Yarrowia lipolytica: one gene and its partners. The protein of the gene in region 3 interacts with the protein of the main gene of each other region in a biochemical or structural test. Links are inferred from orthologs where the notes say so. Each region holds a gene or a part of one and is shown on either strand. Other genes may lie near its edges.

The links.
Region 1: of the proteins of YALI1_D34395g (region 3) and YALI1_C20953g, one has a biochemical effect on the other in vitro, tested with the Saccharomyces cerevisiae proteins (2 studies listed by BioGRID). The link is inferred for Yarrowia lipolytica from reciprocal best matches to the Saccharomyces cerevisiae genes CDC5 and MUS81.
Region 2: the proteins of YALI1_D34395g (region 3) and YALI1_E33527g form a complex in vitro, tested with the Saccharomyces cerevisiae proteins (2 studies listed by BioGRID, with this or other methods). The link is inferred for Yarrowia lipolytica from reciprocal best matches to the Saccharomyces cerevisiae genes CDC5 and STU2.
Region 4: the proteins of YALI1_D34395g (region 3) and YALI1_E19201g form a complex in vitro, tested with the Saccharomyces cerevisiae proteins (2 studies listed by BioGRID, with this or other methods). The link is inferred for Yarrowia lipolytica from reciprocal best matches to the Saccharomyces cerevisiae genes CDC5 and CDC14.

Annotation. Positions count from the first base shown.
Region 1 is NC_090772.1:2,091,428-2,099,137, forward strand, and holds YALI1_C20953g (uncharacterized protein), read right to left. Parts: upstream 3,929-7,710; coding exon 2,075-3,928; downstream 1-2,074. Other genes in the region: YALI1_C20964g (uncharacterized protein), read right to left, coding at 4,836-5,031, 5,092-5,348.
Region 2 is NC_090774.1:3,347,473-3,356,147, forward strand, and holds YALI1_E33527g (uncharacterized protein), read right to left. Parts: upstream 5,394-8,675; coding exon 5,337-5,393; intron 5,288-5,336; coding exon 2,741-5,287; downstream 1-2,740. Other genes in the region: YALI1_E33485g (uncharacterized protein), read left to right, coding at 1,078-2,457; YALI1_E33540g (uncharacterized protein), read left to right, coding at 6,593-8,675.
Region 3 is NC_090773.1:3,437,986-3,445,779, reverse strand, and holds YALI1_D34395g (uncharacterized protein), read right to left. Parts: upstream 6,287-7,794; coding exon 4,118-6,286; downstream 1-4,117. Other genes in the region: YALI1_D34446g (uncharacterized protein), read left to right, coding at 1,230-3,305. UniProt on the Saccharomyces cerevisiae protein: Protein kinase required for the cell cycle where it is involved in mitotic exit. A component of the fear (CDC14 early anaphase release) network which promotes CDC14 release from the nucleolus during early anaphase. Phosphorylates SCC1/MCD1 and NET1.
Region 4 is NC_090774.1:1,916,960-1,924,362, reverse strand, and holds YALI1_E19201g (uncharacterized protein), read right to left. Parts: upstream 4,219-7,403; coding exon 2,524-4,218; downstream 1-2,523. Other genes in the region: YALI1_E19172g (uncharacterized protein), read left to right, coding at 7,129-7,403. UniProt on the Saccharomyces cerevisiae protein: Protein phosphatase which antagonizes mitotic cyclin-dependent kinase CDC28, the inactivation of which is essential for exit from mitosis. To access its substrates, is released from nucleolar sequestration during mitosis.

The DNA of each region.
Region 1 (7,710 bases), on a different chromosome or scaffold from region 3:
ATGCATGTCCCTGCGCAGACCAATGTAGCATTGTGATGCCGTTTGTGATAAGAGATGGGGGTGATTTACATATAAAAGTCACGTGGAAAGTACTCATTACGGTGCCACAATGTTTGATCAAGAGACTTCCCTTGTGAGGATGAAGACTTATCCACTTTACAAGCCTTAGTAACCCTTTTACTAGTCTCACCCCAGAGAGTCAGCTCAATTACAACTTCTTATTCAGTATTACGCCATCTACATGGCTCATTTCCTAAACTTTTCTCTCCACGAATTGGTGACTAACACTGCCACAGTATGAGATGTATCCTTGGTCTACAGTGAGTACATACAAGACACTCGATGTCATTCATAGTCCCTCTCAGGCTCGTTGGGCTCTGATTTGGGCCATGCTCTCGAATCTGGCCATTATTGACTTGATATCAATCATCGACTTATTCAGAATCTCGTCTGCTCCAGATGCCTCTGGTTAACCAGGCATGCTGTCTACTATAGTGCTTCAGTATTTCTGTAGGTTGCGTTTGAGACATGGTTCAGACACCTGTGACTTGTCTCACGAATGCTACCATGACTTCACGTATTCGGTCACCAGTCATCTCCTGCTTTGTTTCACCATCAACAGCTTCTGTCTGTTCTCTTCTTGTACCTGGAGTACCCCCAGTTCCAACATGTTATGTCTCTCTCACGGTTCAGGGTGAGACTAGCAAGATCAGTTAAGGCCTTGTAGCGAAGTCATCTTTTGATGCAAGAGACAAGATTGTTCAGACTGCAGTCCATCTCTTTGAACTCTTTGGGTCTACAGAACTCTTTGGGGATTTTATCCCGCCTGTTGCACCTCGAGAGTAATCTATACCGTAGACTCATTAATCGATTTCCAGCCCGTCACAGCTACGTATCAAGGACAGGATTATTGAGAAGCATTCCAACCCCCGGACCTCTCATATACCTGTGTAGTTATCATCGGCACAATACCAGGAACATACTATTCACACGGCAGTTTCGTGGCATTCTCTCGTTTCACGTCTCTCGCTCGACAAGCTACCGCTCTTAGTCATCGAATCCTCTACAACAGCTGAAAGTCTGCTCAGCTTGAAAACTGATCAACTTATGAGATTCAATAAATAAGCAGAAAGATGTAGATTGAGTCATTCCCCCTTCATCATTGTTGCATTGTGGCATAATTATCATCAATATCGATCCCTGACTGTAGGAAAAATCGTGAATCCTGACAAAGTCCTTCAAATTGAGGATTCCCCGAAGAATTTTCGGGTATTCCATCGCTGTACAAGTACATAGTACCTGCTGTAAATCTGCTGTTGAAATATGCTGTATATGTTCACTTCTGGATGCTGGCTTTTTCCGTCGATTTTGTCGTATTCGGTTAAACTGGAACTTAATTAACACCTTATAATTACAAGTAATTGACTATCTCGGGGGGATTTGAGATAGCCTGGGAAAGACTGAAAGAATCGATTGCCTTGGAAAATGCAGCTATTTTGAATCTTAGAGTGTTATCTCCTTGTTTCGGCTATTTAAGGAGTTCTAGCAATCTTTTGGAGTCATTACTTCCCTCTAGCATCTTTTTTGGAGTCAACTTTTGTCTTGATGTGGCATTGTTTACTGGAAGATATGAGACAAAAGGTCAAATGAAAACTGATTGACATATACTATACATCGTTCTACACACATACCCTTGCTCCATTTTGGTCTCCATTTGTTTCGTGTAGAAACAATTCTTTTGGATTGAGGTCAAAACGTGGATTACAGAGCCAGTCCATTCCTGGAGAACAAACTAACAAAGCGCTACTAGGTAGTCGTAGAACCATCTCCACCAACGGCTTTATTGCATAATTCGTCTTTCATAAACTTGAAAATCGTTCATTTTGTCAGACTGTGACTCGGAGATTTGTCCAGAATCTGATGTTTTCCAATCTCCACATCATCTGTACATGTTATTCCGAATTCAGGCGCACTAAAAGTGTATAATAATGATATTGAAGCTACCTGATATACCCACCCACTTTCCATCCTACTGTATCCAAGATCTAGAACCCAAGAAACCTGATGTACCTCCCTATAATTTACCAAAAACCTCCCACACCATTTCACTGGCAGCCTTCCCCACACCCTTAACTTGTCCTCTTGTCAGCAACTCCAAATAACCCTTGCCATGAGACTCCTCCAAATCCCTGTACTTGTCGATCAGATGACGAGGCGTAGGAAACAGCTTCTGGATAACCTGAGCCTTTTCAGCCGAAATACCATTAATGGTCATGAGCATCTGAATGAATAGTACCTTGAGGGAATGGTTCGACTTCAGATTCTTGTCCTGCCAGGCCGTCAGCATCATCGTCGAAAAGGTATCACGAGATTTAGAGAAGCCTCCAATCTCCTTGGGCCCTATGCTCAGAGTGACTCCCTCGTAACACATCTTCACAGACTCATAAAGACTGGCCATGTAGTCACAGCTATCCGCCACACTCTTGGTCTTCTTCAACAAAAACCCATCGATAGCCACCACTCGCCCCAGAATACTGGCAATGGCCTTATCACGGATCTGGACCGCAGCTCGGGACATGGAGAAATGTTCCACCAAATAAACAACGTTCTCGACTCCACACTTGCGTAGCCGACTCTTCTGCTCTTCGTATCTAGAGTCCACAATCGATGAGTTCAAGTCATCGTATCTCTTTCGCTCAATAATTGTGTTCAGAACGGCGATTTTCTTGCTAGTTTTGTGGCGAGCTGCAAACAAGAAGTCGCCCAGATACAACACTGAAGGAATTACTGTCACGTTCTTCTGACTCAGTCCGGAGATGGCCTGCTGTGCTTCTTCTCGGTTATTTTCTCGTTTGTCTACAATCAGAACCACCTCGTAGGATGACGGTTCCCACGTAACTTCAGCTGCCTCTGTTATTGGTCGTACCACTCCTGAATGGCGTAGTTCCGCTGCTGCCATTGTTGCTCCATCACTCATGGGGACGACGTGCACGTCCATATCTTCGTCGGCTGAATATCGATTCAATTTTGTCACCTGCTGCGATGAAGCCAGCTTGGATTTATCGGAAAACCCCTGGGTATCCACCCTCTTTGCTGTCTTTGGTCGCTTTTGTCGTTCGATTTCCTCCCGTAACTCTTGGCCAACCCGCTTCTCTTGGGTGGAGAATCTCCTCAACTTGTTGGCGAGGTCTTTTCCAGCTGGCGTCAAGCTGTAGGTGTATGTCGAGTTCATTTTGGAAGTGGTGACGAGCCCCTCGCTCTTCAGCTTTGATAATCCACCCCAGGTTTTTCCAGGGCCCGTGATGTTGAGAACCTGCTCCTTAGTCGTGGGGTTGGGTATACCAACTAGCGCTACTAGTAGATCATGTGCAGCAGTACCTTGCTTGGGGTAAAAGGTGCTGGCAGTTGCTACTGCCATTTGTTGTGGTGGTGCATCATCGGTCAGATCAACTGCATCAGTGAGATCAACGGTGGCTATGGAGGAGTCTGTGCCATGCAGAGGATCTGTAAATCCACTTGTCCCTCTTCCAGCCTTGCCCTTTTCCCGTCTGATTTTTTCCACCAGCTCCTCGTGTTCCCTCACCACTGCATCCTGAGCAGACTGCTTGATCCGCTCTCGTTCACGTGCTGCTGTTTCTTCCTGTTGTCGCTTCTCCTCCTCGGCCTCCTCACGCGCCTTTCGGCGTTTATCCAGCACTTTGCCCCAGCGTGTTTCCAGCACACCCAGCGACTTGGTGTCGACGTACTTCTTGAGATCGGCCACTTTGAAAATAAGCGGTCCACCCAGCCCTTTCTGCACACTTCGCAGCACCTCCAGCTGTTCCGAAAACAACCGCGCCTTCTTGGAACTGGCCGACACAGACTTGGCGAGAGAAAGATCCGCCTCGGTGGCAGCAATCAAGTCGTTGAGAATGCTCTTTTTGCTCATTTGAGATTGATGTATAAGTGAGTCGCGTTTCGTGTCGCGAAAATCATTTAGGCGTTGGAGCTAATATTATCAAGGTTTCAGTACATACTGTATCAGTCTCTGAATCATGGCCAAGTGACATGGATATTTCCTCATCCTGCTACATTGAGATACACGCACTGGTCTGTGTATACTTTTGCCCCTTCAATTTGCTACAGTACTGTACGTTTTTTAGAAAATGTTTTTGTTATTTCTTTTATAGTAACATAATACATTTATGTTTGTTAGAGCAAAACATCCTTAACAATAACGTCCACTAATCATACATAATTACTGGCGTAAATCTTAAAAATACTTGATAAATTTATTTAATGCAGAAAAAATAATGTAATCATGCATAACTCAACAAACGTTTCAATAACCCAGACTCGTGTGTATGGGATCTCTTTCCCCATAGATAATATCCAGTACTTTTGAACAGCAAACAGCCTCCCCATCGACTTTTAGTGAAATTTTGGACCTGTGATTCTAGACCAACCCAGCTCTCAAAGTCACGTGAAAGTCTCAACTCAACCCCCCCCCCCCCTTTTTTTTTTTTTTTTTTTTTTTTTTTCATAACATGAATTTCTTGTTTCACCAGTCGCACAAGTTGGACATATTTTTTCCCATTACAACAGCCCAAGACGGAGTATGGAAACACCAACTCAACACCGAGAGAGGATGGAGAGATGGAAATTACATGACCATACTTCACAGACCGGGGGTTATTATTATGAGTTGATCTGAAGTCTGCAATATAAAACTGCCCACGTCATTGAGACATTCGACATCTGTAAGCTACGTTCATCTTTCCATTTAATAAACACTGCTGAAAACAGCTACAAATAATTATAAATACATAAATAATCGAGCCGGGAGCTCATGCAAATTATTCCAACACAACATCACTGTCATCCTCGTCGGCACACTCAAACACGCTGGTCAAGTCGAAATCGGGCTTTCCAGGACCAAGCTTCTTGTTGCCAAACTTCCACATTTCCGTCTCGTCCTCACTGCACACTAGCCACAGCTGATGATACGCAACATTTTCCAGATCCACAATCAGAGTCTCCCAGGAAGATCGTCTCGCAGCATCGCAGACTTGAGCTTCTCGTCAAATCCACAGCAGTAGGGAACCGCTGAACACTGAAATCCGGAGGCAAATCGGGCAGTATCCGGCCACCGGAGGAAGCACTTTGAACGAAGTCTTGTCAATGGACACCATGTCGGGATCCATACTGGACTCGCCATCATCCTTCTCACATTCCATCGAAGTCTCGTGGTCCCTGTCCCAGAAGAGCGCATTGACGTTGGAAAAGCTCACGTCGATGACGGAATCGTCCGTCTGACTGGTCTCAACCGAAAACTTGACCTCACTGTGCTCATGACAAATCACAGCCATGGAGAATCGCTCAATTGTAGCACCCGGGTTTTCGTCTGGTCTCAGAAAAATTAGCTGAAAGATTCGCAATGTCGACACCTACACGATGGAGTGGAAACAGCAGGGCTGTGGCATACGTCGTAACGCCTCTTCCAGCCAACTGCACAGGCGACTCAATTCCAAGTCAGAAGACTAAGAGAAACGACCAATCCGAGGTCACTACTGCTGGAGCGGAAGCTGCGACTGACAAGAGAGGATGTGTACTGAATCAAAATCCAAGACAACATCAGTTCCATACTAGAGAAAGCTCAGTCTTGCTATCCCAAATCCAAGGAATATGAAGCCTCAGAGAATAGTCAATCACCAGATACTGTCGCCGTGGCGAGGGTTGGGAACAAGGAGAAGGAAGTCCAGCTGGAACAGAGTGAAGTTGATGTATTTTATTGTGAGTGTTAATGAATAATTATCGAAACTTGTGAGAAATAGGCGATGAGCTATACACAAGTGTACAGTATTTACACTAGCAGTGCAAGTATTTGGTAATTGAATACTTTCATTCGATTTGGAATTCTTGGGATATTTAGTCAAGCATTTTTCGATATGCTATGTTTTTTTCTGTTTTTTTTCTTTTGTTTTTTTTGTTTTTTGTTTTTTGTTTGCTTTTTTTGTCGTGTTTTCCAAATCTTTTGGATATTGGTCCAGGATTCCAGCAGTAAATTAGAGGTCACAAGTGTAGTGACCCGAGGCGTTACAGGAGAGTAGGGGGCAATACCATGGCCCATACAGAACAGGTAATCGTCTGGCCATGTCCAGGGGCAGAATGATCAATTCCCACCATTCTCGTCAGAGAAGTTGTGACTAGATTACAGACGGTACACTATATATATTGTATTCTACTGCCAGAAGTAATGTTTTGTAATGTTATAGCATTTTAATCAGACAAGTAAGTACTCGTGCAAATACCAACCTGGCTGATTTGACATTGAGGATCTGGTTCCCAAGGATGGGCCACCCGAAAGACATCCAGATCCAGTTCTCTGGCGTGTAAAGTTTACGGACTGTCATTTTACATCAACCAGCCTAGACCCATAAGGGTCACCGATTCCAAGTCTGTACCGTACTTGAGATAATACAATACTTGTAGTAGAACCGGACAGCAAACTTGTCGACTTGCTGAGTTGGTTTCAACGACCGAATAAGGAACAATTAATGTCGATCAGAAAGTAAGCCAACAGTTCAATACATCTCTTTTTCTCCTGTTCATCGTCGTCTTTGGCGGCTGTATGCACTTAGTTGTCAAATCCCACCAAGTTCCAGGCCGTTGGAAGAGCCAGGTCGCTGTTCAGTTGCAACCTCCCCCTCTAGAGCAGAGTCGTCCTCCACTTTTCCTAGAGGAGACTCCCTGAGTCTACCAGATCCAAGCTTCTTAGTCACTCGCTGGCCATGTCATGGTATTTAGGTGGAGGACCCTTGTACTGTAGTTATTGGGGTCTCAAGTGATTCTTAACAAGATAAAATTGAAAAATTAAGGTCACCAACAAAATATGTTGAAAATCTGTCGAGTAAAGTGAGGGATTAATGGCACGCCTTTGGATTTCCATTAAATATTATGAGTCGAAATGTGGAGTACTCCCCTCTTCCCCAGGGCATGTGAACAGTGACGCCCCCCGGAAACATCAACAAGTCAAGACACGCAAATATCTGCGGGAATTGGCTTATGGGATCTGGAAGATGGAGAGATCCCTCCGGTACTCAGGGGACGACGCCACCCTGGGACATGTCCAACAGGGTTTGCTTCAATTCCTGAAGGAAGCCCAGATGTGTTTCTACGATGGACAACCGCCAGCACTTCACGATGAGCGAGAGTAGAGACAGTAGCAAGCGTAAAAGGCGGCCGAGGCCACCGAGAGAACAGCGTAGCAGGGCGCGTAGTCACCACAGGGGACGCAGAACCAAACCAATGACGAAGAAGAACCACAAGGAGACGTTTTCAAAGGCAATGCAAACGAAGAGGGCAATGGAAGGATTGAGATTAGAGAACTGGAGACTGGAGTGGCGTTTTCCCGATGACGAACAAACACGCGAAGCTATGTGGACCAACATACAACACGGACTGAACCAGGTTTTTTTATGATTTTTTTACTGGAAATAGGTACGTGCCAAGTTGGACCATGACACTAAACGTGTTTAATTAGTAATATTCGTGTAAGCGTACATTCATTTCAAAGGTTATTCTTTCACAGCAAAGTTATAATTAAATGAATGTATATGCAGAAAGAAAAAAAAATATTAATGAAAAATGCGGAACATAAAATTCAGGACAATTTCCGCATGTCGGAACAAATATTTATAGAGTTAGTTGAAATCTAGTGGATATATATCG
Region 2 (8,675 bases), on a different chromosome or scaffold from region 3:
GTAGCAACTCTATGCCAGTCCACTGTATACTGCGAACACATCTAGCGTACAGTATTGGTATCTCTATACAGTGCCATCAATATCGCCAACAACCACATTCTCTACACACCGACTACCCGGTCCAGGAATAAGTACATTGCATTTGTAGTACACTCTGAGACACCAGTAAAACGGTTTGGAAGGTTTCCCACTTGGCCTTGCTTCTAGCGTGCTTCAAGTCATCTGAGTGGATCTAATCGGGGCTCGGAGCTCCCTCTCAATCTTATGACCTATCTTCCGCAGTCTTTCACTCAGCCCTTCATGAGTTCCACTACTTAACCCCAGTTACCATGCCTCTGTATACGATATGTGGAGAGGCAGAGAGTACAAATACTATAGAAATGGATGTTCTTGCACGTTGGTCTGGTTTGACTACTTGCACGCCAGCAATGGAACACATCTGAAGAACTTGTACATACCTCTACTGTAGCTCTATGAAGGTTTTCAGATTCGCTGAGAGATACTAGAACAACGCCAGTGGTATCATACCCATATGGTATACAAAAAAGTCTGGTACCATCTTAATCCTCTTTATCTCCTCTTTCCAATGATACTACTTATACCGCCAAAATCCCACCATGTCTCTTGCGTATATCACAATTATAGATTCCCAAAATATATCAGAGACACCTAGAACAGAAGTAAAAGTATTTATACCGCTCCACACCCCTTCACCTAGTAATTATCTTCTCTCCTCAATATCATCAATACACCCCTAAAACACGCCGACTTTATACCCCCTTCATATCAACTCATGTATGAAAGCGTAAACGTGTTATTAAAGCTTCTCCTACAATAAAGCCGAATCAATCGTGTTTGAGACTTCTAAAAGAGACCAAACCAGCCCGCAGAAGCAGTATATCACGTGATACCTCATATCTTCACGTGCATGCAACCGCGACCCCCTTTTAAACCCCCCATCTCCCCCTTATCGAACCCTAACCACCTCATCTCATCATGCACTTCGCTTAACACAAGCTGCGCGCTTGGCGCTAATTTCGAGTTTCAATATATCTACCAGCACAGACAGATCACGACATGTCGGATCAAAATCACGTCGAGCTGGAAAGCTTGGCAGAATCGGACGACTACCAGGTTGAAAGCGACAACGACGATGGCGGACACGTTACCCAGACGTTACTGGGCAACAATCCCGGGTTAGCCGAGGTCACGGCTGAATCTGAGAAGTCCAACATGAAAATGGCATTTATGAACATGGCCAACTCGATTATCGGCGCCGGAATCATCGGCCAGCCCTACGCCGTGCATGAGAGTGGTCTTATTGCGGGAATCCTGCTACTGGTTGGTCTGACGTTCCTGATCGACTGGACGATTCGACTCATCGTGGTCAACGCCAAGTTGTCAGGTACAGACACGTATCAAGCCACCTGCCGCAAATGTTTTGGTAAGACCGGTCTCATTGCCATCTCTCTGGCCCAGGGCTGCTTTGCATTTGGTGGATCGATCGCGTTCTGTGTCATTATCGGAGACACTATTCCGCATGTTCTGGGAGCACTTTTCCCGTCTCTTCTGGGTGGTGAGGACTCGGGACCTTCGATCCTCGTCAACAGACAGTTTATTATTGTTATTTGCACGTGTCTGATCTCTTATCCGTTGGCTCTGAACAGAAATATTGCCCATTTGGCCAAGGCCTCGGCTTTGGCTTTGGTATCCATGCTGGTCATTGTCATTCTTGTGATTGTCCGAGGACCCCAGCTTGCTCCTGAGTACAAGGGCACTTTTGATGGACACGCTCTGAGTATCAGCCCGGGACTGTTTCAGGGAGTGTCAGTCATCTCTTTCGCCTTTGTCTGTCACCACAACTCTCTGCTGATCTACGACTCTCTGAAACGACCTACTATGGATAGATTCGCTACAGTTACCCACTGGTCTACCGGAGTCTCCATGGTGGCTTGTCTGGCCATGGGAGTGGGTGGGTTCGTCATTTTCGTCGACAAGACCAAGGGAAACGTTCTCAACAACTTCCCAGCCTCTGATGTCATGGCCAACGTTGCGCGATTCTGTTTTGGCTTCAACATGCTCACCACCCTGCCTCTGGAGATCTTCGTTTGCAGAGAAGTCTTCACTACATACTTTTGGCCTGGCGATGAGTTCAAGTGGATTAGACACATTGTTACTACCACGGTGATGATGCTCACCGCCATGTGTGTTGCTCTGATCACCTGTAACCTGGGTGTTATTCTAGAACTCGTCGGAGCTACCTCAGCTTGCGTCATGGCATATATCCTGCCTCCCCTGTGCTATTTGAAGCTGACCAAGAACAAGAGTCTAAAACAGAAGGCTCCTTACTATCTGGTGGCAGGATTTGGAGTGCTAGTCATGCTCTTCTCCACCATCCAATCACTGCTGAAGATTGTGAATGGAGAGGAAGAGGGCAGTCATTGTGACGTGAACTAGTCCTAATATGACCAATTATTGTCCCCTACGGGTACTTGCACTGCACGACCACTCAAAACATCCAAAACAAACCAATCAGACCTAACCATATATCCGCCGTCTGATCACATACAGACAACACCAAAATCACTAAAATAGTCAATATCAATGTATTTTATTCAGTCCGCGAGCTCTACACATCAAAACCAGCCATTAAGTGTTAACCATTTTCCTACATGAACATTGCCATTCATCATCATTCTCCTGGTATCAGCTTCCAACCCTAGAATTATCAAATCCAGTACTAGTACATCTTCTGTCTCGCCTTCATGGCCTCGATTCGAGCCTTCAACTGATTAGTAACCTCTGCAGCACGCTGCCACGACTCCTGAGCCTGAGGTCTATATGAATCCCGTCTGTCAGGAGATAGGGCACGTGACACCGCCGACTCACGTGTACCGTAGTCATGTCCGTTTCCTCCCAAGTAGTCACGTGATCCGTTCCCAACACCGAAGTCCCGAGAGCCCCGGTTACCGACACCAAAGTCACGTGAGCCGCTGTTACCTCCATGACCAGGCCTGAATTCACGCGTGCCGTTGCTTCCCGCATTAAAGTTGTTTCCTCCGCTTAAGTCACGTGATATTCGTCTGTCTCCTCCAACTCTCTCACTCCCTCCTCCTTCCCCACCCAACGACAGCTCTCTGAACGATGCCTCAGCGTCAACAGAGGGTGACATCTCTCGGGGTTCTTGCTTCACAGCCTGAGAAGCAGAAGCAGCAGTTTCCAGCTCAGAAATCCGCTTGTAAGCAGCCTGCAAATCCCCCTGCATCCGGGAGAACTGTGTCTCTTTGCTCTTGAACGAAACAGCGTCTTTGGTGTGTTGTTCTAGAATGTCTGCCTTGGAATGTTGCAGAGAGTTGATCTCGTCAAGCAATCTCTGCTTCTCAGCTGCAAACTTTTGCTTTTCGGCCTCAAAAGCAGCCATCAATGTCTCCTTCTCCTTGATCCAAGTTTCCTTAGCGGCTCTCAGCTCCTCTAGTTCCTCAATATCTGCTGAGGAAGCTGCTGGTCCGAAAGAGTCGATACTCGGGCTTGCAGGAATCTTCTTGAGAGGTTGCTTCATCAACCCAGTTCGAGATTGGCCGTATCCTGAAGACTGACCATATCCAGATGACTGAACTGGCTTGCTGTCGGTAGATCCAAATCCAGAAGAAGGACCGGCATTGGATCCAGTAAAGGGCTTTCGAATAACACCTCCACCGGGTCGAACCAGTTTCCGTTGACCAGGAGTAGCCACAGAAGGACGTTTGTTAGATGCAGAAGCAGAGGCAGAAGGAGGAGGAGCGCGAGTAGCAGGCTTTGGGGTAGGCTTGGCCTTGGGCCTAGCCACCACTGTTGCCTTATCGTAGTACTCGACGATTTTCGTCTTTCGGATATCGTCAACGCCCTTGAAATGCTGCTCAAAGGCCCGTTCTCCAATCAGCTTTCGAGCAGTACCAAGAACCTGCATGGAAATCTCTCGGACAGGAGCCTGGGTATCAGAAAGTGTCTTCAGAACCGCCTTGATCACATGATCCAAGTCCTGGTCACTAGGATACTCCTTGATAGTCGACAAAAGACGCAGAATGAAGTTCAGAGACTCAATCCGCACCTGGGGAGTCTTATGGGACACGAACGGCAATGTATCTTCCACCACCTCGCCAAAGGGGAGCTTGCAAGCAATAGCATCGAGAGCTTTGCCCAGTGCTTCAGCCACAGAAGCTTTTTTCTCCTTCGTTCGCTCCAGAACAGCTTGGAGAGTGAATCGGTATCGTGCAAACGCGTTACCGGGCAACCCATTCGCCACTGTCTCGATACACTGAGCAGCCACCTGCACACATTGCACGTTGGCATCCTTGTGAACCACCTTAGCCATAGCTCTGAGAAGTTCTCCGTAGTCTCCCTCCTGTAATTTGGGGCCTCCGCTCTGAAGTACAGGTAGAACTGCCTCCAACCCCTCCTTTCGTTCCTTCCACTTGGCTGATGTAACTTCTGTGTAAAAGTTTGCTGGAACCTGAGACAGCACATCCTTGGCTTCCACCAGAGCCAGAGGGTCCGAATCCTCCTCATCACCCCCATTGTCCACATCCATCTCGTCGGACTCGATTCCGTTGGCCGAAGCTGTAGAAAGCACCTGTTGTTGAGATCTGAGAAGTCGAGCTTGGGTAGGTTTTCCAGCAGCTGCGTTAGCAGCAAACTTCTCATCGAGTTCCTTCTGCTGTACAGGTTTGAGGTTCCAGCTGGGCAAAATTGCGTCCATCAGAGGCTGACCATGCCACTTTTGAACCTCAACAATGAAGTTCATCGCCTCTGCTCGCACATTCTTGTCTGCATGAGTAAGCAGCTTAGGAAGAGCCTTGAACACGGGCTTAGGGTCGATTGTCTTTCCAAATGCTGCGACCATGTCCACCAAACACTTCAGGTTGGCAGCGATCACCTTGGGTGTTCTATGGCCCAACAAAGCAACAACATCCTCCACAACAGGATCAGGGACGTCCAGTTCAATGTACCATAACAGGGATTCTGTAGAAGAAGTTTTTGTGCCTGCTCGTGCGGAAGCTAGTCCCTTTTCAGCAAGAATAGGAACCACTACAGACCGTGTTCTCAAACAAGCCTGGGTACCTCCAAACTGAAGGAAGGCTGCCAAAGATTGAATACCTTGATCCTGAGCAACCACGTTCGTGTCACCGACAATCTTCTTGTACAGCCCAGGGTTGTCGAGGAAAGGCGCGAAAATGGGGTCCGCTTCGCTTGGAGATGTCGTGAACTTGTCCTTCAACTCTTCATAAGCTGATTGTCGCGCTTTCCAGTTCTGAATTAGTAACGCGGGGTTTGGGAAGGGGAAAACACGTGATACTCACCTTGTGGACCATTCGGTCCATCACCGGAATCGCATTAAAATCTTCTTCTTCACTCATGTCGTGTTGTAGCGATGTCGGTCGTGTTACGGGTATTAGGGGATGAGAACTGTATGCATCTCAGTTTACATGCGGTTACCCCGGCAACGATGGGGAGGCAAATAAGGTTGGCTAGCTGGGGTTCGATTACGGGAGTTGTTCTATACTGATTATAGTAGGAGAATGTATTAATGGAACATTACTGTCGGTTAACATAGTATTTTTGTGTAATTCCCATAGAACCAGTCTATATATTGTCGACATTCCCGTTTTGACCACGCTTGTCTTTGGATGTTGTTTAGACTGGTTGTGTGTTGTGGTTCGATCCCCAATTGGGATGGAAAAAAAGGGACTCAGCTAATGATAGGAAGGTACATACTCGTACAAGTACAGCTGCTGTGTTGGTACTCGTAGGAGTAACAACATTATGTAGCTGTAACTAATATACGCCAATGAGCTTGGCTTGAGAGCGGGCATGTCACATGGACACGCGCGAAGTATACGCGCTCAGAACACGCGTTGTTGTCTAAATCTGGCCTGAGGGTACATGAAAGATGTGAAAGGTGAGTATGTACTACTTGTAGTAGATATCAAGTACAGTATGTACTGTACAGTACAGTACCAAGAGAGTGCTCCAAGAACTCTTATGATAGTAAATACGGGGTAGTTTAGAAGTGGTTATCCATGTAGTGTTACGTAGGTGGTTTGAGGGACTTGGTGTCTCGAGGAGCTTGGAAAGTTGACAGATTGTGGCCCATAAAATGAATTGTAGGTATACCCTTTTTTCTAAAAAAGATTCGGAGGTGTAGAAACATGCCGGCTGATAATACTGCATACCGTCTCGCATGAGTCTATACAGCAGCTACCTGTCCTAAACTTATGGCACGTATTTATCGCGTGTAGCGTGTTTCCTCTGCTTCCGTGCATGGAACAAAATTGACGAGTGGAACTACAATTATCAAGAGTAAGTATTGGTGATGCAAACGGGCAAAAGTTGAAAATGTAAGGGATTGGCGAAAGATACCCGTAACTACTGACATGCCATGGTACAAAATGGCTCTATAGCCATGTTCAATGAAATGATACCTCTTCCTCATCATACTATGTAGCATACATTATGATGACTTCGTTATGGGTCAGCTTTCCCTGAATTATGGAAAAACCGGTATATCTACTGCCATCAAGTCCATCCCATTTTATTTCATAATCATCAACTCAACATGCATCTTCATTTTTTCCTAGGACTGGCTACCACAGCCTGGGCCATGTATGAATACAACGAGATCATCCCCTCTCGACATCGGGTTTGCAACCCCAACGAGCTGGGCTTGGAAGACTACTATGGCTTTGTTGTTCACCATCAAGTGACCGTTTCATCTTGGCCCAATCTGCACCATACTCGAGTATCCGAGTGTGAAAACTCGTATGTTCAGCAGCACGATTTGTACCATCCCAACGAGCCCGGCCAAGATACTGTGTGGGGCAAGAAGTTGTGTTCCGTTCACAACAACGACCACACTCGATGTTTCATGATGGCGCGAAGACGCCGATACGCCGGCCTCAAGTACTCTTTGTTCGTCCCCAACATGTGGATTGGTACTCTGTTTGAGTGTGACTGGAGAAACCCCAAGGACCCAGAGTGTATCAACCCAATCCCCATGCGACCTCTCATCTCCGACAATCTGGTATTAGCCAACTGGTACGAGACCCCTGATGGTTTCAAGCACATGGTTCGACGAATCCCGATGTTCTACACCACCAACAAGGGCCATCCCGTTCCTGCAAACTGGAACAACTCAGTAGATCCCTGGGAGCAGTACACTTACAGCTCCAACGAGGAAAGTGTCTTCAGCAACGTCGCAACCAATCTGCAGTCCTGGTTCCACACTCTGAATCGTATTGGACAGCAGGAACCACTTGACATCGATGAGGGGGATGGACGACCCCGACGAGGTCTTTCCGCTCCTATCGACTTGTCGTACAAGAACGCCTTCCATTGTTGGGATGATGTTCGTAACGTGTTCTGGAAGTGTCCCCCTCCCAAGTGGAAGGAAGAGATTGATGCTGAGAAGCGAAAGAAACCTGACTACCATAACAGACTCATTATGCCTATGCCCATGCCTCCTCTTGATCCCCCTCGAGAGCCCAACGACTTTGATGATCCCTTGGGTCTTCCTAAGTCTCGACTTCCCGAGTTCCGAGATATTCCCGGAATTATCGATCGAGGTAGAGACGCGTATGATCCCTTCTACGATCCCGTTTTTGAGAAAGAGAGAGCAGAATGGCATAAAAATAACCCAGCTACTACATACCCTGTCATGACTGCTGAGCTCCCTATTTCCACAGTGGGTCCCTCCAACCCTCTCAAGCACTCATTCAATATCTTTTCTGGACTGTTCAAGCCTCGTCCTGTCATCAAGGAGGAAGAGGAGCTGGAGGAGGAAACTTGGGGCTTCTTTGATATATTCCAGCCCAAACCTCGACGAGGACAATCCAGTATTGGTCTCATGGACAAAATTCTGTACGGAAATCTGCCTCCTGCTGCACGTCCTGGAGGAGCTCAGACAAGTTACACAGGTGGATACCGAACCTATGATCAGAATATCGGAAGTCTAGTACCTGTTATCCGACCCACAACCACTCAACGAAAGCCTGGTGAGTTCGATTTCACTCCTCTCCCCATGGAGGATTGGATCTCTCTTTTTACCCATGACTCCAAAGCTCCCGGCACTCCGGTAACTACTAGTCTTTCTGTCAAAACTGCTACTACCTCTGTTGCTTCTACGGTGTCTTCCAACAACACTATGCCCATGGTCACTCTTTACAAGGCCAAAAAGTCTGCGCGCGTCCACAGTCCAACCACCACCGCTTCTCAGTCTTACGAGGAGATTCGATGGAGCAAGGAGATGGAGCGTCGAAAGAAGGAGTATGAGGAATATAGACGACAGTTTGGTCCAGGCTACGAAGAGCTGCCCCCTAACAGTGGCCACGAGTGGACGGAATATTCTTCTTTTATTGATCACAACAGGAAGACGTTTGCTCGCAAGGAACAACGCCAGAAGGAGATTGAAGAGATGAAGACTCGGAATCGACAGAAGCGAGACGATCTTGATGAAAAACAGTTCTTCCTCGATGAGCCTGTCTCTGTGGGTGAGGGACCTATCTTCTATTCGGTTCCTGCTGCCGACCAGACCCTCAATGTGACTGTTCCCTCGGTTGAGGATCTTAAGAATCCAGCTATGATTCAGCGACGCTCGTTGTCTTCTCGGCTGGAAATCACTCTCACTGATATGATCGACACAT
Region 3 (7,794 bases):
GTCGTACGATTGATTCAATGGGAAATAATGCAGCAGCGACCGGAGCAAATTGGCGTAATGGAGACGATTGGCCGTAGGTGAGGCATAAACAAGAACCACCATCTGGCTGTATATTGAGTATAAAGGTAATATTCGATTGAATTTTGCCCTCCTCAGTCCTGTCATTCACACGATGTTATCTGATGGAGGTCTTACGGTTCACACCCACAGTACCAGTCATGACCCAGAGTTGTATCTATATATGTATCTCTATCGGTGTCTCAGGTTCCATCCCTGGTCACCAAAAGTCATTACTTCCACTCAAGATCTTACCAAAAAGTCAGAATGCGCCATTGATGAGCAACTTTTGAGTCGCGAGAACCAAAAAAAAAAATAAGCTACAAAACAAGGTGTATACATACATGTAGATGGCGCAGTACACTTGAGACAATGCACGAGGAGGTTATATACGGCACAACTTCGGTACATTCGGTACGATACGAGTATGTACTTGTACTACAAGTGAGTAGTAGACTTCTTTGGGTCGATGTTTTCAAGATTTCGGACGGTGAATTTTGTCTGGTGACAGGTTGATGACACACAAGTGTCCTCCAATCACCAATCATCCCTGGTGTGTGTATCAACTGCATTGGCACCATGTCCATCAGCCAGGGACTTGCAAGTAGGACATTGTCATGTGGATTGATGCTTTGAATCACATCTTAGTTTGATTAGTATTTGAAAAAAAATTGCGAGGATCACTGAAGCCAGTGTGTACGTACCGGGATTGGTATAGTAGTGTGTACGGAGGATGCGGTCAGCTTCACCACGGTGCCAACTGGAGTATATTATTGACCATTGTGCGCTGTTGCTGCTTCGACCACCAAGGTCAACCCGGAACAGATATTGCAGAACCCCCCAATTGTATACTCTTACATAACTCGCTAAAAATGTTCATTTTCAGTTCCGTGGTTCCGATGTTGCATCCGATACACAAGGTTGAGATGACGATCTAATCCTATTGATGGAAAAGATTGATTTATCTGATTAGCTGAAAAACCCAAAAGAATCTCTGGAGAAGGATAAAATCAGGGGACAGGCACGGTGCCTTGTCTTGGCATGCGCCTAGCCTCGGAGGCCCTGCCAAGACGGGAATGGGTGACGCCCAGAGCTTGGATACTTGTGTCAGTTTATAAAGTCGTACAGGGGCCGACGGAAGGGCAGATCGATTACTGAGCGTCAAAACCAACATGAAGTTCACCCTTCTTCTCGCCGTTGCTTTTCTGGTCACCCTGGTAACTGCTTACAGAGATCATCCTGGTGATCATGTCCTTCTCGTCACCAGTACTGTTCAGGGAGCTACTGGCAAGTTCAATTTTGATTTCAAGCCTGTTAAAGGCTTTGGAGCAGCTTACTACCAATCGAGATGGGATAACAAGCCGTTCATTCAGACTCGAGCCATCTGGTACCGTGCCGTTCTTCCCGATGATGAGCAATGGAAGCGGGCTTTGGACAAGGACATTATCCAGATCTACAACAAGCGGGGAATGCTCAACCTCACCATGGATGACATGATGGAGGTCTACGAGAACGGAACCAAGTATGCCGTATCCAACCAGAACACCTCTGCAGTTCTTCATGCTCCTGTCGCTTTCAATCAGACTGCTTATGATGAATACTTTCCTACTGTGCATGAATTCCTGAAACAACTGGATCTGGGAACCTACTACGGAGCTGGTCTTCTTTCATGGTGGATGTTAATCTTTCTGGTTGGAATGGCCTCTAATCTCGGAAAACATGCCTTTTTCGGACTCTACCAGAAAATCAAGGGTCACAGGTTCAGAAAACATGTCTCTATGCCTGCTCTGTGGGGATACAAACACTGCCAGCCTGCAGGAGGATATCTGGGAGGCTTCATCAGTATGTGTACTCCTACCCGAATGCAGGCTCTCGTGGTCCTTGGATACCTGATTATGGCCTTCATCTTCTTGTTCACTCAGTACAATCTGTTCACACCCAACTTTTACTGGAAAGCCCATGGAGACCAGCTGGCACGATACATTGCCGACCGAACTGGAATCATGTCTTTCACCCAGGTACCCATTGTGTTTTTGTTTGGAGGAAGAAACAACTTCTTCATGTGGCTTACAGGCTGGTCTTTCGATACCTTCAACATCTACCACCGGTGGACCTCTCGAGTCATGATTTTGTATGCCGTCATCCACTCCATTTGTTACTCGTATCTCCAACGAGATTTCTTCAGCGTGGCAGCTTCACAGTTCTATTGGATCATGGGAACAGTAGCTACCATCTGTGGCTCTTTGATTCTGTTCCAAGGTTTGCATTTCTTCCGGTCTAGGTGGTACGAGACTTTTCTTGTCATCCACCTCATCCTCGCTGTGGCCTTTATTGTGGGACTGTGGTATCACTGTGTTACTCTTGGCTGGATGCAGTGGGTCTACGCTACTATTGCCGTCTGGGCGTTTGACAGAGCAGCAAGAATCGCTCGCATCATCTGGTCAGGAGGGGTTGTTAAAGGAGATTTTGAACTTGTGGACTCAGACCAGCTCATTGTCAAGGCCGAGATGGAGTACTCCAACTGGTGGAAAATCTACCCTGGAGTTCACGTCTATATTTACATTCTCAACGGTAAGTTCTGGGAGTCTCACCCGTTCACCGTCTATCAAAGCCCCTATGCTCTGGAGACTGGTAAGATGACGGTGCTTCTTAAGGCCAAAGAAGGCAAGACTCTATCTTTAGCCAACCTCCTGGCAAAAGGTGGAGGATCCAGGCGACTGAAAACGTTTATTGAGGGGCCTTATGGTGCCAAGCACCCCATTGGAAAGTACGACTCCTCAATTTACGTTGCTGGAGGAATCGGTATCACTGCCACTTACTCGTACGCAGTGGATGTCATTCAAAAGAGTACAGCCAAGAACCTCATCTTCACCTGGGTTGTGCGGAATGATACGTGTCTCACCTGGTTCAAAACCGAACTGGACACTCTTCTGGCAGATACAAGAGTCGAGGTCAATCTCTATATCACCGGTGGCGGTGGTGCCAATGCTCTGGCTTCTACAGGTTCTGAGTCTGATTCCAAACACTCTGAAAAGTCTACTTCACTGACTAACTCTTCTCGTCTCAATATCATCTATGGACGACCCGATATGCTTACTGAAATGCCAGCCTACGTCGAACGGTGTCCTGGTACTACAGCTGTGGTGGTCTGCGGCCCTCCTGTTCTCAACGACGATATCCGACTATCTCTGGTTCATTCGACGGATTGTACCAAGGTCGATTATTATGAAGAGGCTTTCTCTTGGTAAATATAACAAAATACAACAGCCAAAATTGCTAATGATAATGCTTTGTATACTCTTATAGTGCATACCGTACTGCAGGTTATAACTACGATTCTTCAATAATTCTAACTCTCTTAATAAATAACTGATTTGTTACTTGGGATATTAGTTTTCACCATTGTGGACTTGTAGCTGTCACTTTCATGAAAAGCAACAACAATGATACCAGCAACAACACTCCTCTAACAGTCATGTTTATATCTAAGGCATGTATTTAAAGTGCTCTTAACAACCCCACACTGGATTTATTCTCATAGATCCTCTCAGGCTCTCGCAATAAGACAAATCAAAAATGGTCACGTGGTCTTCATATCACGTTCTATTGACCCAATAAGGTTTTGTTTTAACCTTCCGATATAGTGTAGGGGCTATCACATCACGCTCTCATTCTGAGAACCGTGGAGACCGGGGTTCGATTCCCCGTATCGAGTCTTTGGTTTCCGGCCATATCCCTGGTGAAAATACGGCTTCCCGTCCGATTAAGCCATAGTCAAGCACCAGAAAAGCCTAGTTAGGTATTGTAAGTGGAAGAACCATACGAGAATCCTGGGTGCTGTAATCTTTTTTTTTCGAACCAAATGATTATTCCGTTTTAGCATTTCCTTGTTTTAGCCTCCTCATTATTCGCCACATGAATGAGACAGATTCCACTTTTTTCAGACGAAAACTTCGATATAGACACCCTACTTTCTCCCCACAAATATTATGGTATCATGCATTATTAAGTTAGCTAATTTAATGACACAACAATTGTTGCGCGGAGTCTCTGAGCCTCTCTAGTTAAGGAGACCCTCAAAGTACTGGTACACACGCACCAACTTTTCCTGAAGATTCCAGTGTCCCTCTCCTGCGTGCATGCAGGCCTCGTCCAGCGTCCAGTGGTGGAACATCTTGTCGTCGTCGATGAACATCATGGATTGACCACAGTGGCTAATGACCATCTTGCAGTGATCCTCAAAGTTAAACTGGAACGAGTCGTTGGACAGGTGAAAGACCACGAATCCGGCCGACCGCTGCCAGCTCAGTACCCACACCATGTCCAGGCCAATCTCCTTCTCGTCCTCCACCATACACAGATGGTCGTTCATGAATTTGTGGAACTGCTTGACGAGCTTGATTCGGTGCTTGTGCTCGGCAGGATATTGTGTGCTCGTGAAGGTGTCAATAGACCAGTTGCTCTTGGGATTGCTTCGGGTGGCCACGTCCTTTGCCTCCTGCTCCATCACCACCTGGAACAGATGCTCCTCGTACCGCATGTCCATAAGAATGGTTTTTTCCTGCTCCATGAGAACGCCGACGACGTTGGACGACAGCTGGTAGGCAAATCCAAACTTGTTGGAGTAGTCCACCCACTTGGAAATGAAGATGGTCTTCTCGTCTGCCCGGCCACTGGAGTTGTGGTGTGAGGGTCCACTTCGGAGTTGCCTGTCCAGTGCCTCATGAAAGATTTTGAAGAGCTGATTCTGGGGTTTGAGGCTCATAGACTGAGGCACGTTCTCCATGACTCGCCGGTCGGCTTCAATCGCCTGGGGACCCTGGGGATCGGGTTTGACGTCAACCATCTTGTACTTCTCCTTGGTGGAAGCCGGAGACAGAGACTGGGGGAGAATCTTGGCTGGCTGGTCGGCCTCAACGTCCTGACGCTCAATTGTGACGGGAGGAGATGTCGATCGGGGTGCCAGGTGTCTGCTATCGAGTCTGGCGGCAATCTTGATGGCCTCAAAATTCTTGTGTGACTGAGTGTAGCTGACTCGGGTTTCAGGTTGTCTCAGCTTAGCAGCCTGAGGATGAATGGAGGCGGGGAAGTCAGTGAAGAAGAATGGGTGCTTGAGAATGTTGGCCAGGTTGATACGCTGGTGAGGATCTCCAACTAGCATCTGTCGAACAAGATCCTTGCATTCGCTGCTGATAGGAAGATCGGCGGGAAACTTCCAGTCGTTCTTCTTGATTCGCTGGTAGATGGTCTCCACGTCCTTGGACTGGAATGGAGGCTTACCTGTGACCATGGTGAATAGAATGACACCAGCAGACCAAATGTCGACCTCAAACGAATGGCCCTTATGCTTGCCAGCAAGAACCTCGGGAGCAATGTAGTTGGGGGTGCCACAGATGGTGACCCGTCGGTCGGTGGGCTTGTCCAGAACCGTAGCAAGTCCAAAGTCTCCAATCTTGACATGCATGTGCTCGTCGAGGAAGATATTGCCGAGCTTGAGGTCTCTGTGGATGACTCGTCGTCTGTGCATAAAGTTGATAGCGCCGAGAATCTGCACCATGTAGTACTTTGCCTCGCCCTCGGTAAATCCCTTTCGGGCCCGCAGCATCTCCATCATGCTCTGGTTGGAGCACATTTCCAGAAGAATGTACACATTGTGGTCGTCTTCAAAGCAGTCGACGAACTCGACAATGTTGGGGTGCTTTAGCGACTTGTGGATCTTGATTTCCGCCAGCAGCTTGTTTTTCGTCTTTTCGTTGCGCACGCTCTCCTTGGCCACCGTCTTGGCAGCGTAGGTCTTGCCAGCATCATTCTTCACCTGGAAACATCTAGCGAAACCACCCTCGCCCAGACACGAGCCCCGGGCGAAGTGGTCGCCGGTTCGACTCTTGATGAGAGAAGGAGGAGTCTTGCACAAGCTGGAAAGCTTTTCCTTTTTCCGGGGAGTCTTGTGAGTAGCGGCTGTGGGAGCTCTGGAGGAGGCTGTAGGGGCAATGGCGGCAGCGGCGGCAGCAGCATGGGCACTGCTCACGGCGGGCTTGCTGCTGGGATTGTAGTAGTTGCCCTTGCCGGTGTAGTACGGGGTTGTTGGTTGTGGCTGGTTCTCCGAGGTGTACTTGTTGTTGTGATAGGCGTCGTTGTTCTCCTTGCCTGCCCGCAGCTTCATGGGGTTGACGACATTGTCTCGATGCTCGCTGCCCAGAGGCCTCAAGGGATCTGGTCGCTTGAACATCTTCTTTTATTTTTTTGGGTAATTGGTGACCGAGTGTCAAGATGGTGATGTAGTGTTGTGTGTTCAGTGGTAGGCCATGGCCCAGTGCTTATATTGTTCGGCTTCAGTTGGGTTATTGCCATATTGGGCATTAGGTTCGGGGGTTGTCACAGCAACATAGTATCGAAACAACAGAAGGAATGAGGTTGAAGAAGGTGAATTTGCGTCAAATTGGCGTGGAAAGGGCTTCAATGGACTGTCGTGGTTCTGGTGAGTCCATTGGCAGTGTTGTTATCTACCTTCCGGGTTTGATTCTGCCCCAAAATCAACACTTTCCAAATCATCAATTCTGTCAAAACACTCTGTAGATACACCTTAGAAGCACCCTACATACTCCCAGAGGTTCCCTGTACAGTACAAGGTGCTATGGTATCGCTTCTATCAGTTTCCCACGCACCAACATCGGGCCCTTGACACCGTCCGCCGATCAATGTTATGTTTACAGCTGTAGCCGCATACTGTACAACCCTAACCTAATCAAGAGAACCGGGTCTTTGTAAACACTGGCCGTGGGAGCTAGTATAGAGGATAATTAGGGTGGTTTTTGTGTTCACAGTGCTGGGTGTAGTGTTTTCGTTCTAGGAATTAACCGCCGGAAGCCCCTCCGGTTGTGTGAGGCGAGTTAGGGACGACTGACGATGTTTTAGATGTGAGTCTTGGGAGTACAGTGCTCACAACAAGTCAAAGTTTATTTTGTGGAGATGAATGTGGATTTTTGGGGCTGAAATGTAAACAATGTGATTAGTAAGCCCCTAGATTAGATCCAGTAGGCTAGATCACGTGAATTTGACAAAACATCGGCTTTTCACACTGCTTCATTTCCTCCTCGATGGTACATCTCCTCGATGGTGAATGTGAGCTAATCAACAATAAAGTGCATCTCATTTTCAACCTTCGCCTTGTCTGACATTTTGATGCGAGGCCTTGTCTACGAAGTCTGTATATACAGCACGAAAGCACCAGTACGGGTGTGCGATACCGTGCTTGTAGTGTGTAGTCTGTTTGACGTATCTGCTGGTTCCAACACAGCGAGAGCTTGCTGAACAGGTGTAGTAGACGGCAATGTTGCTTACACCAGGTTATAGCGTCATGTTTGTCATCTCCCTGGCAGTGGTGTTTATGAATGATCACCAAGTTACACTTAGCTTTGGATATCGAAACAACAATAATCTTAGGAAATTGTCTGATGTAAGGGTTTGATATTGAAAATCTGTTAAAAAGTAGTACATTTAATATCTAATTATATTGTATTTTTCCTTGTCAGCGTTTGGGATTACTAAAAATGAACCCCCAGCAGAATTTCCAGTTAAACTAATTCCCAACTAAAGTCAACTAATTTGAAACGAATGATCCCACCGTTGGAATACATGATTGACGCTAGAAATGATCTCAGACTGCTCAATGTGGTAAGCTGAAACATTAGGTCCACGGACGATGGGTTGACAAAAACTTATGGTACTGTACCGGTA
Region 4 (7,403 bases), on a different chromosome or scaffold from region 3:
CACCCACCCCATTTTATCCCCATCTAGATTTTTCTTTTCTTTTTTCTTTTTTTCTCTTTTTTTTCTTTTTTTTTCCAATGTTCTTTTTTAATTCTTTTTTAGAGGAAAAAATCCTCCATTTTTTCCTTTTCCTAAATGATTTAATTAACTCCACTAAATGAAATCTCATCTGCACATCCCACAAACCATACATACAAACTCGCAAGGCTACCAGTACGCAAGCTCAGTGGGGCTGTGTGTTTCTATTTCTACTTTCAGTTGGTCCAATTAGACGGCACTCTTTTTTTGGCTGGGACCCCCCTTCCCCATTTTCGACTTTTTTTTTTCCGCTGTAAATCACCACTTCACAAATAAATACCCCGTAAAATACCTCAAAAATTAAATAATAATAATAAAAAAAACCTCGTATCGGGCCGTATCAGACCATTTGGAATAATATTCGTTGCACATATACTGTACATTCGTCGGCAGGGTAACATGGGGTGCGGCGAACATGATATCCCTCTCTTGTGTCGGTTAAATTGGATGGAGATGTGATGAGGTTTTTGGGAATTCCCAGTAAAAGAAAAGAAAAAGGAAAAGAAGAATAAATCAACAAAAAACAACGAAATCTGCTTTTTGTCATAGATTGAGAATTCGACATTGCTCAAAACAATCGACAGATCAAGAGTCTCATAACTGCAAACACACCACTTGTTCCGACATCTGGCGGGCGTCAGATCCCACCTGCACAGTAGTAGGACCTTAAGACAGAACAATGTCAAGTAGCTGGTGGGAACTTTGATGAGTAATAACCAGGTATGGTATTAGCTGACTAATGATCAACTTTGGCCATCCAGAGCGGCTCCCAGGAAATAACCGGGGGTTGCCGGACAGAAGTCTGAATGGGCGTGGCATCCACTCGGAAAGAGTAGGCAAGCGACTCAGTAGGAGGTCACAGGAGTTCACACTTGGCCAGGGAGCTCCGAGTGTGAGAAACCAACGGTCCACATCCACTCTCACTCCCTTCGCTCCCCTCGCGCCCCCCGCTACCTCGCAACGCTCGTCCACCCACACTTCCTACACCATCAAACCCTGCTCTGGTGACTATATGGAGACCATTGGCTGGGACCGTGCTGGAAAAAGTGGCAGAACTGGAGCGTAGCAAGAGTTCCAGGAAAGCGCAAGTAACCGGATCATATCAAGGTCGCATGCGGTACCCCGACAGAGTCAGCTGGAGATGTGTATGTGACCGAGACTGCATGATAGTAGTACAAGTATCTGTGTCAGTTTCTGTTTTTCATATCGTATCGGGTTACGACGAGGGTATCTGTGTCATATCTATCTGTGTCTGAGACTGGGTGGGTGGGGGTATCTGTGGTGTCGTTTGGGTCTGTTTGTGGCATTGTTTGTGTCAGTTGTGTCACCGTTGTGTCACCATCTTGAGTAATGTGTAAGAGAATAGGTTTTTTATATTTATTTTATATTTGTATTTATATTTTATTTTATGTTAAATATTTTTTCTCTTCTGACATCTACCCATACGCTCAGATGCCACCATGGGTACAACCAGAACTCCGTCATCTACAACCATCTGGGGTACAGGAGCAATGGTGAAGTCACGTGTCCATGTCCTTGTACCGCATCGCAAAACCAGAATGAAAAATTCTGTCGACAGCTGAATGGGCGATTTCCGCCGTGACATGTGCTAGTTGGGGCAGCGGATAAGCGGCCATTAGTTGCTCATTAGTTGGACACAGCTCACATATTTGAGGGTCCAAGTAATACGCGACTAATGTTCAACAGTACGTCGACCAGTTCGAGGCCAGTTCCGTTCACATCAGCTTCCCTTGAGGGCTGTCTGATGGTGAAGACAGGGTGATACCCAAGTCAAAGGCAGGGTACTGCTCAACACCTCGATCTGCCTGTTGGTGTGTGGCAACTCTTGGGTCCGCAGAGTCAGGTACTTTCGCTACGAGTATTGTACAGTACTTGTACTCGTACTTGATGCCGACTTCCTATCCTTTTCCTTCGATCAGGTTGACCGTCTCGTCGAGCACGAGAACACACATGCCCCTGAACACGCCCTTCTCCAAAGGCCGGGTCTTAGCCGAACAGCATGAGAACGATCTGAAAAGATCTGAATGACTCGGCGTTGATCTCATTCAACCACAGTATCTGGCTGAGAAGGAGGTCCGGGAGACGAAGAAGCGAGACAATGACTACTAAAAGTTGTTCGTGGCATGGAGATCCACACTTCCACAGAACACGAGTACTCGTAGGTATCGCACTCTTAGTGTACCACTACACGACCATTCCATTACGTGATTCATTATTAATCCATACATACTGTTCCATGCATATAACTGTGGTATCTGTTAGCGTGGGATGCCATTCTAGTGTGTCCGATAGCTGTTCTGGGTGAGAGGGGGGTTAATGACAAAGTGATCTGATCGGGTCATGTGATTGGGTCATTTGAATGGGTCATGTGACCAAGTCATCTCAGTGGATAAATCATGCAGTCATCTAAATACCGCCAAATCTCTACGACCTCTTGGTTCTGGAGACCTTTCTCACGCCGGTCTCGCCACTGACTTGTCGCACCGATGCCTGGCGCCGGGATGCGCTCCGAACCCTCAATGGTGACTTTTTCATGTCGTTCTCCTGGTCGAAGTCCAGCTGTTTGGAGGGCGACCGCAGCTGCTGCTGGTGCGAGGGTCGTCGGGAGGGCGAATGAGAGGCCGTGACAATCAGCGAGCCCTCTACGTCCTCGCAGACTGACACAGACACGGACCGCGACGGCTGACGCGACGGCATTTGTCTGCTGCTGACCACTCGTCGCGCCGAGGCGATCGAGCCTTCTCGTTCCTCGTCCGAGTTGTAGACGGTGTCATGGGAAGTGGAAATGTACCGTTTGGGACGGATGGCGGAAATGCCTACACTTCCAGATCGATGGGCCGGACTGGGGGAGTTTTTGCGGGGCTGTCCGGGAGTAGGGGCCGGCAGAATCGAGTTGCAATGGTCCATGTCTCCGAGAATTGATCGTTCGGGTGTTTTTGGCGGGGGGGTTGACGGCAGAATGGAGTCATGGGTTACTGCGGAGGCTCCCAGAGAGCCCAATTGTTCCTCCTTGCGCCGGATCTGGTCCTGGAGAGCGCTCAATTGTTGTCTCAATTTGCACTGTTGGTCGGCAATGGGCACCAGGGGTCGCAGGTTGGCCAGCTTGTAGCTGGGGGTATCGCTGACGACCATGGTTCGTTTCCAGTCTCTGAACTCGTTCTGGTGGAGGTAGAGCCAGTGTTGTTGGGGGCCCACCACCATTCCTGGCCGCAGAAACCGCATGTAGGCAATACATTCGGCGGCGGTGAAGCCGTAGGAGTAGATGAGATGGGCGCCAATCAGACACCCCGTGCGGCCCAGGCCGGCCTTGCAATGAACGGCGATCTTGCCGCCCTGTTCGATGATGCATTCAGCCGCGCCAACAAACTTTTTGACCATGTCCATGGTGGGCACGGTGCCATCGTCGAAGATCATGTCCACGTGCTTGATTCCGCGTTGCTCGAACTGACGAGCGTCGTACAGAATCGAGTTGAGACGCACCACCAGCTGCACGTTGTGGGTCTCAAAGTAGTCGAGCACGTTGTTGAAGGCGTGGTCCAGCGGGGTGAGAAAGTCCTCCTGCTGCGGTGACGCAAACGCAATGTAATGAGGAGGCAGCTCGTTGAAGTCGCCCTGGTCCACTTTTTCATACTGCTCGTACTCGTCGAGATTGAAGTGGCGCAGGTCCAAAAAGCCCTTTTCCTTGGCCCGCCAGCACCCGTAGACCACGTCCTGGATGGTGAGAATGAAGTCAGCAGTCGAGTAGCCGGCGTCGCGGAACGGCATGAACGGAGGCTCCGCCTGTGCAATCGGTGCCAATGCCAAATGAGGAGGCCACGACTGGATCAACACCATGTAACAACACAGAAGACAGGCGGCATTGGCTCGGTATCGGGGATCAGGATACGAGTAGAACATGACCGCCTTGTCCTCGTTCTCCGCCAGAATCTCGTGAAGAGCAACCGCAAATCGGTACAGATGACCGGCATTCAGAGGCCCGAAATCCAGATGAAACGGGTTGTAGGGAAGAGCATCGTCGACCGTGAAGTAGACGGTCGTCTCGGTGTCCTTGGGGGTGTGCGCATATGCTCCGAGATAGACCCGGTCCTTGAGGAACTCGATTGGTTCCACTTTTTTCATCGTAGTGTGGAGTGGAGGAATGAAGGTGGTGAAGGTGTTGTAGTTGGGGTGACCTAGATGGTGTAATGGTGACACTGGCAATGTAGTGGTGACACTGGCAATGTGGTGGGGACGACAAGGACAAGGTGATGGGCACGCACAAAAATGTAATGGTGCAAACGTTCGCTTCTATCGCACAAACAACTCCACAGACTCTGCTCAAGAAGATCTCAAAAACATCTACACATATACTTGTTAGTGAACTGATAAGGTTCGGGCTTGTTTATGTTTGGGACGAGCCGTATTGGGAAGCCCTAACCCTATAAATAAAACTGTGGGTCTGTGGGACGATTGACTGGATATTTTTCGATTCTGAAAAGTGCATTTTGTAGCATGAAATGAGTGAATTACAATGGTAGTTTTATATTAATAATAATCCCAACACAGCGTCAATAAAATGTGATTGAAATTTGAAACTACACAAACACATTTAGACCCAAACTATATTTTGTATAAATACAAACAGTGTCAAGATCAAAAAAAAATCAGGAGGTTGATGACAAAGCCCAAATGGGGGCTTGATCACTCAACTTAGTCATCGTATCAAGGGAGTATGTTCAATTACGTAACGCCGTCTTACTAACTCCCTTTCCAGCAGACCAATTGACTGTCTGGAAATCCAACTCGTCTTAATCACACTCGTGTTATGGTTATGACCATTATGGTTCCCCGTTGAACGCTATGTACCGAGACATGGGCCCGTTGCTAGGTGGATCCGGTGTTGAGTAAGCGCTTAGCAGTGAGCGGGAGAGCAGGGTCACGTGATAGATATAAAACCCGTGAGTAAATTCTTTAGTTACATAACTCCCACCCCTCTCGCGTCCTGTGACTAATCATTTCAGTCGCTCATTACCTCTGCCACACAGACAGCCTGCCTCGCATTGTTTGTTTTGACCCCTATTTACAATTATACATGGTCCAAACAGTGCAAACAGTGCAACGGGGGGTCTCCAGAATGCTGACTAAGGACGACAACACAATTTCAAAGACTGATTCAGAGTCAGCTGAATAAGGCAAAAATAATGACATTCTATTTCAAACAGTTTTCAAATTGTCCAATTTTCCCCTCGAAATTTCGACCTTTATTATTTAAAGTTCATTACACATGATCAATGCATCTAAGACGCAGTAGAGATGGGGGAGCAGTGGGTGATGGTGGGGGTCACGTGACCAGCCAGTCAGTCACGTGAGATACAGGAAGAAGCGGTGAAGGGGGTGGTCATGTGACTGGTCACACTTAAATTACGTCATCTAAGGAGAAGGACGCGCACACAACTCGTATGGTTGAAGGGTGCCGGGGAGCTTTTTCTGTTTTTTTTTTTTGTTTGGTCATGTGATCAGTCACGTGAGACAAAAACAGGTGCTGCTCTCCACACATGTGATTCTGCAGTACCCTTGTCAGTGCCGCTTAGTAAGTCTCGTCACTTAGTAGTCACTCCGCTGAGTAAGCATCTTTGCTTAATAAGCTACGTCGCTTACTAGACGCACATTGCTTAATAAGCCACCATCTGAGCCTCGTGCACTAAAAGCGCTAACGCCGAATCTGGTTTGTCTGCATGATGGCCAGTAATCAGGGTGAGTAATCCACGACGTGGTCATGCATTAGCGGATTTATCTGCGCTAGTCACCCCGCAGGACGGAATAATACGAATCTATTTGTAGTTGTTGTTGGGGAATATTATTCTTGATTTTTTCTGATTTATTTCGATTTTTTGAATTATTTTGATTCACGTTGAATTTCGGAAAATTTATATAAATAACGTTAAATCGAGAACACGGGGAACATCAGATCGAACAAAAACAAAATAATTGAAAAAAAAACAAAATGAACCGACAATATTGACATTATTTTTCGGTTGCGCGAAAAGGTTAGACTGCAACATAATACCGTTGGCGTTAAGTGAGACGCAAAAAGAGAATGATAAAACATATGACTGGGCCGTCGAAGATAGAGTAACGCAAATGAACGCCGTCGAAATTTCACGTAAGTAGAACAATTCAGCGCCGAATCAGCTACATGTTCCTTGCTTACTCATTCTCCAGGTCCAAGTCCATTTTTGCCACGTCATTCCCTCCTCCCCCACAGAACCTAGAATCACATGGTTTGGCCAATGGAACGAGTTTCAATGTCGGAACGGTGCTGGGGAGACTCGGAACGGGAAATTGCGAGCGTGTTATCTTTTTTTTCTGTGCTGAGATGCAGCTCACGTGACTGCGCATTTCTGCCCTCGCCATGGACTCACGTGACTGTTCAGCATGCGCCACTATTTTTTTCTATTCTTTCTTTTTTTTCTATTTTGTCTATTTTTTGTCTATTTTTGCCTGTTTTTTTTCTATTTTCCCAATTTTCCCCATTTTCCCCATTTCCTCCCATTTCCCCCAATTTTCCTGATTTTTCCAACACCAAATCCCCCATTTTTCGCCCCAATTGCGTCCAAACATGCGTCTTATTTTCTCCACGTGACTTATCCCCGCGCAAATGCGCAATGTGTGTGCCGAACCTTCATGTGCTGTCCTGAAATTCCCGACGAGTTTATTTCAAAGGGGGGGGTAACATGGATTGGGAATAGTGGTGGCAATTTTTGGGGCGACTAAAAGCGCGGATATTTGGGAACTCCACACTTAATCAGGGGTGCGTTGTCAAATAGCACACACGTGACCAAATTACTAAGCGCTCGTCGCTTCCGCGCTGACTCCTCATCGCCACAACCAATCATTCCACGTCGGTGCGTTACCGTTGCCATGTGTTAAAGCATGTAATCTGGAGGCCAAATAAAGTTAGTACCGAGCCGAGGTGATGACGTCCTGCCGACCCCACATTGGCCAAAAGGTGGTTCAGCCAGAATACCCAGTTTTGGAGGTATTTGAAAAATGAAAACGATATTGAAAATAACAAAATCCGAGAATCAAAACGCACTTTTCAAAAATCCCATATCTCCTCCACATCCCCCACAAACCCGAACCCCTAGTCTCAAAATTAAGGTTCAACCCCAGATACCCCATTTTTTTCATGCTGGCCCTTATATTAACCGTGGCTGCCCTTTTTTAAGTCCCCTTCTCCACTATCACCTTGTCGAAATCCCAACCACAATGACAGCTGGACTAGTTGCTGCCGCCGCCATTGGAGCCGCCTACCTGGAGGCCAA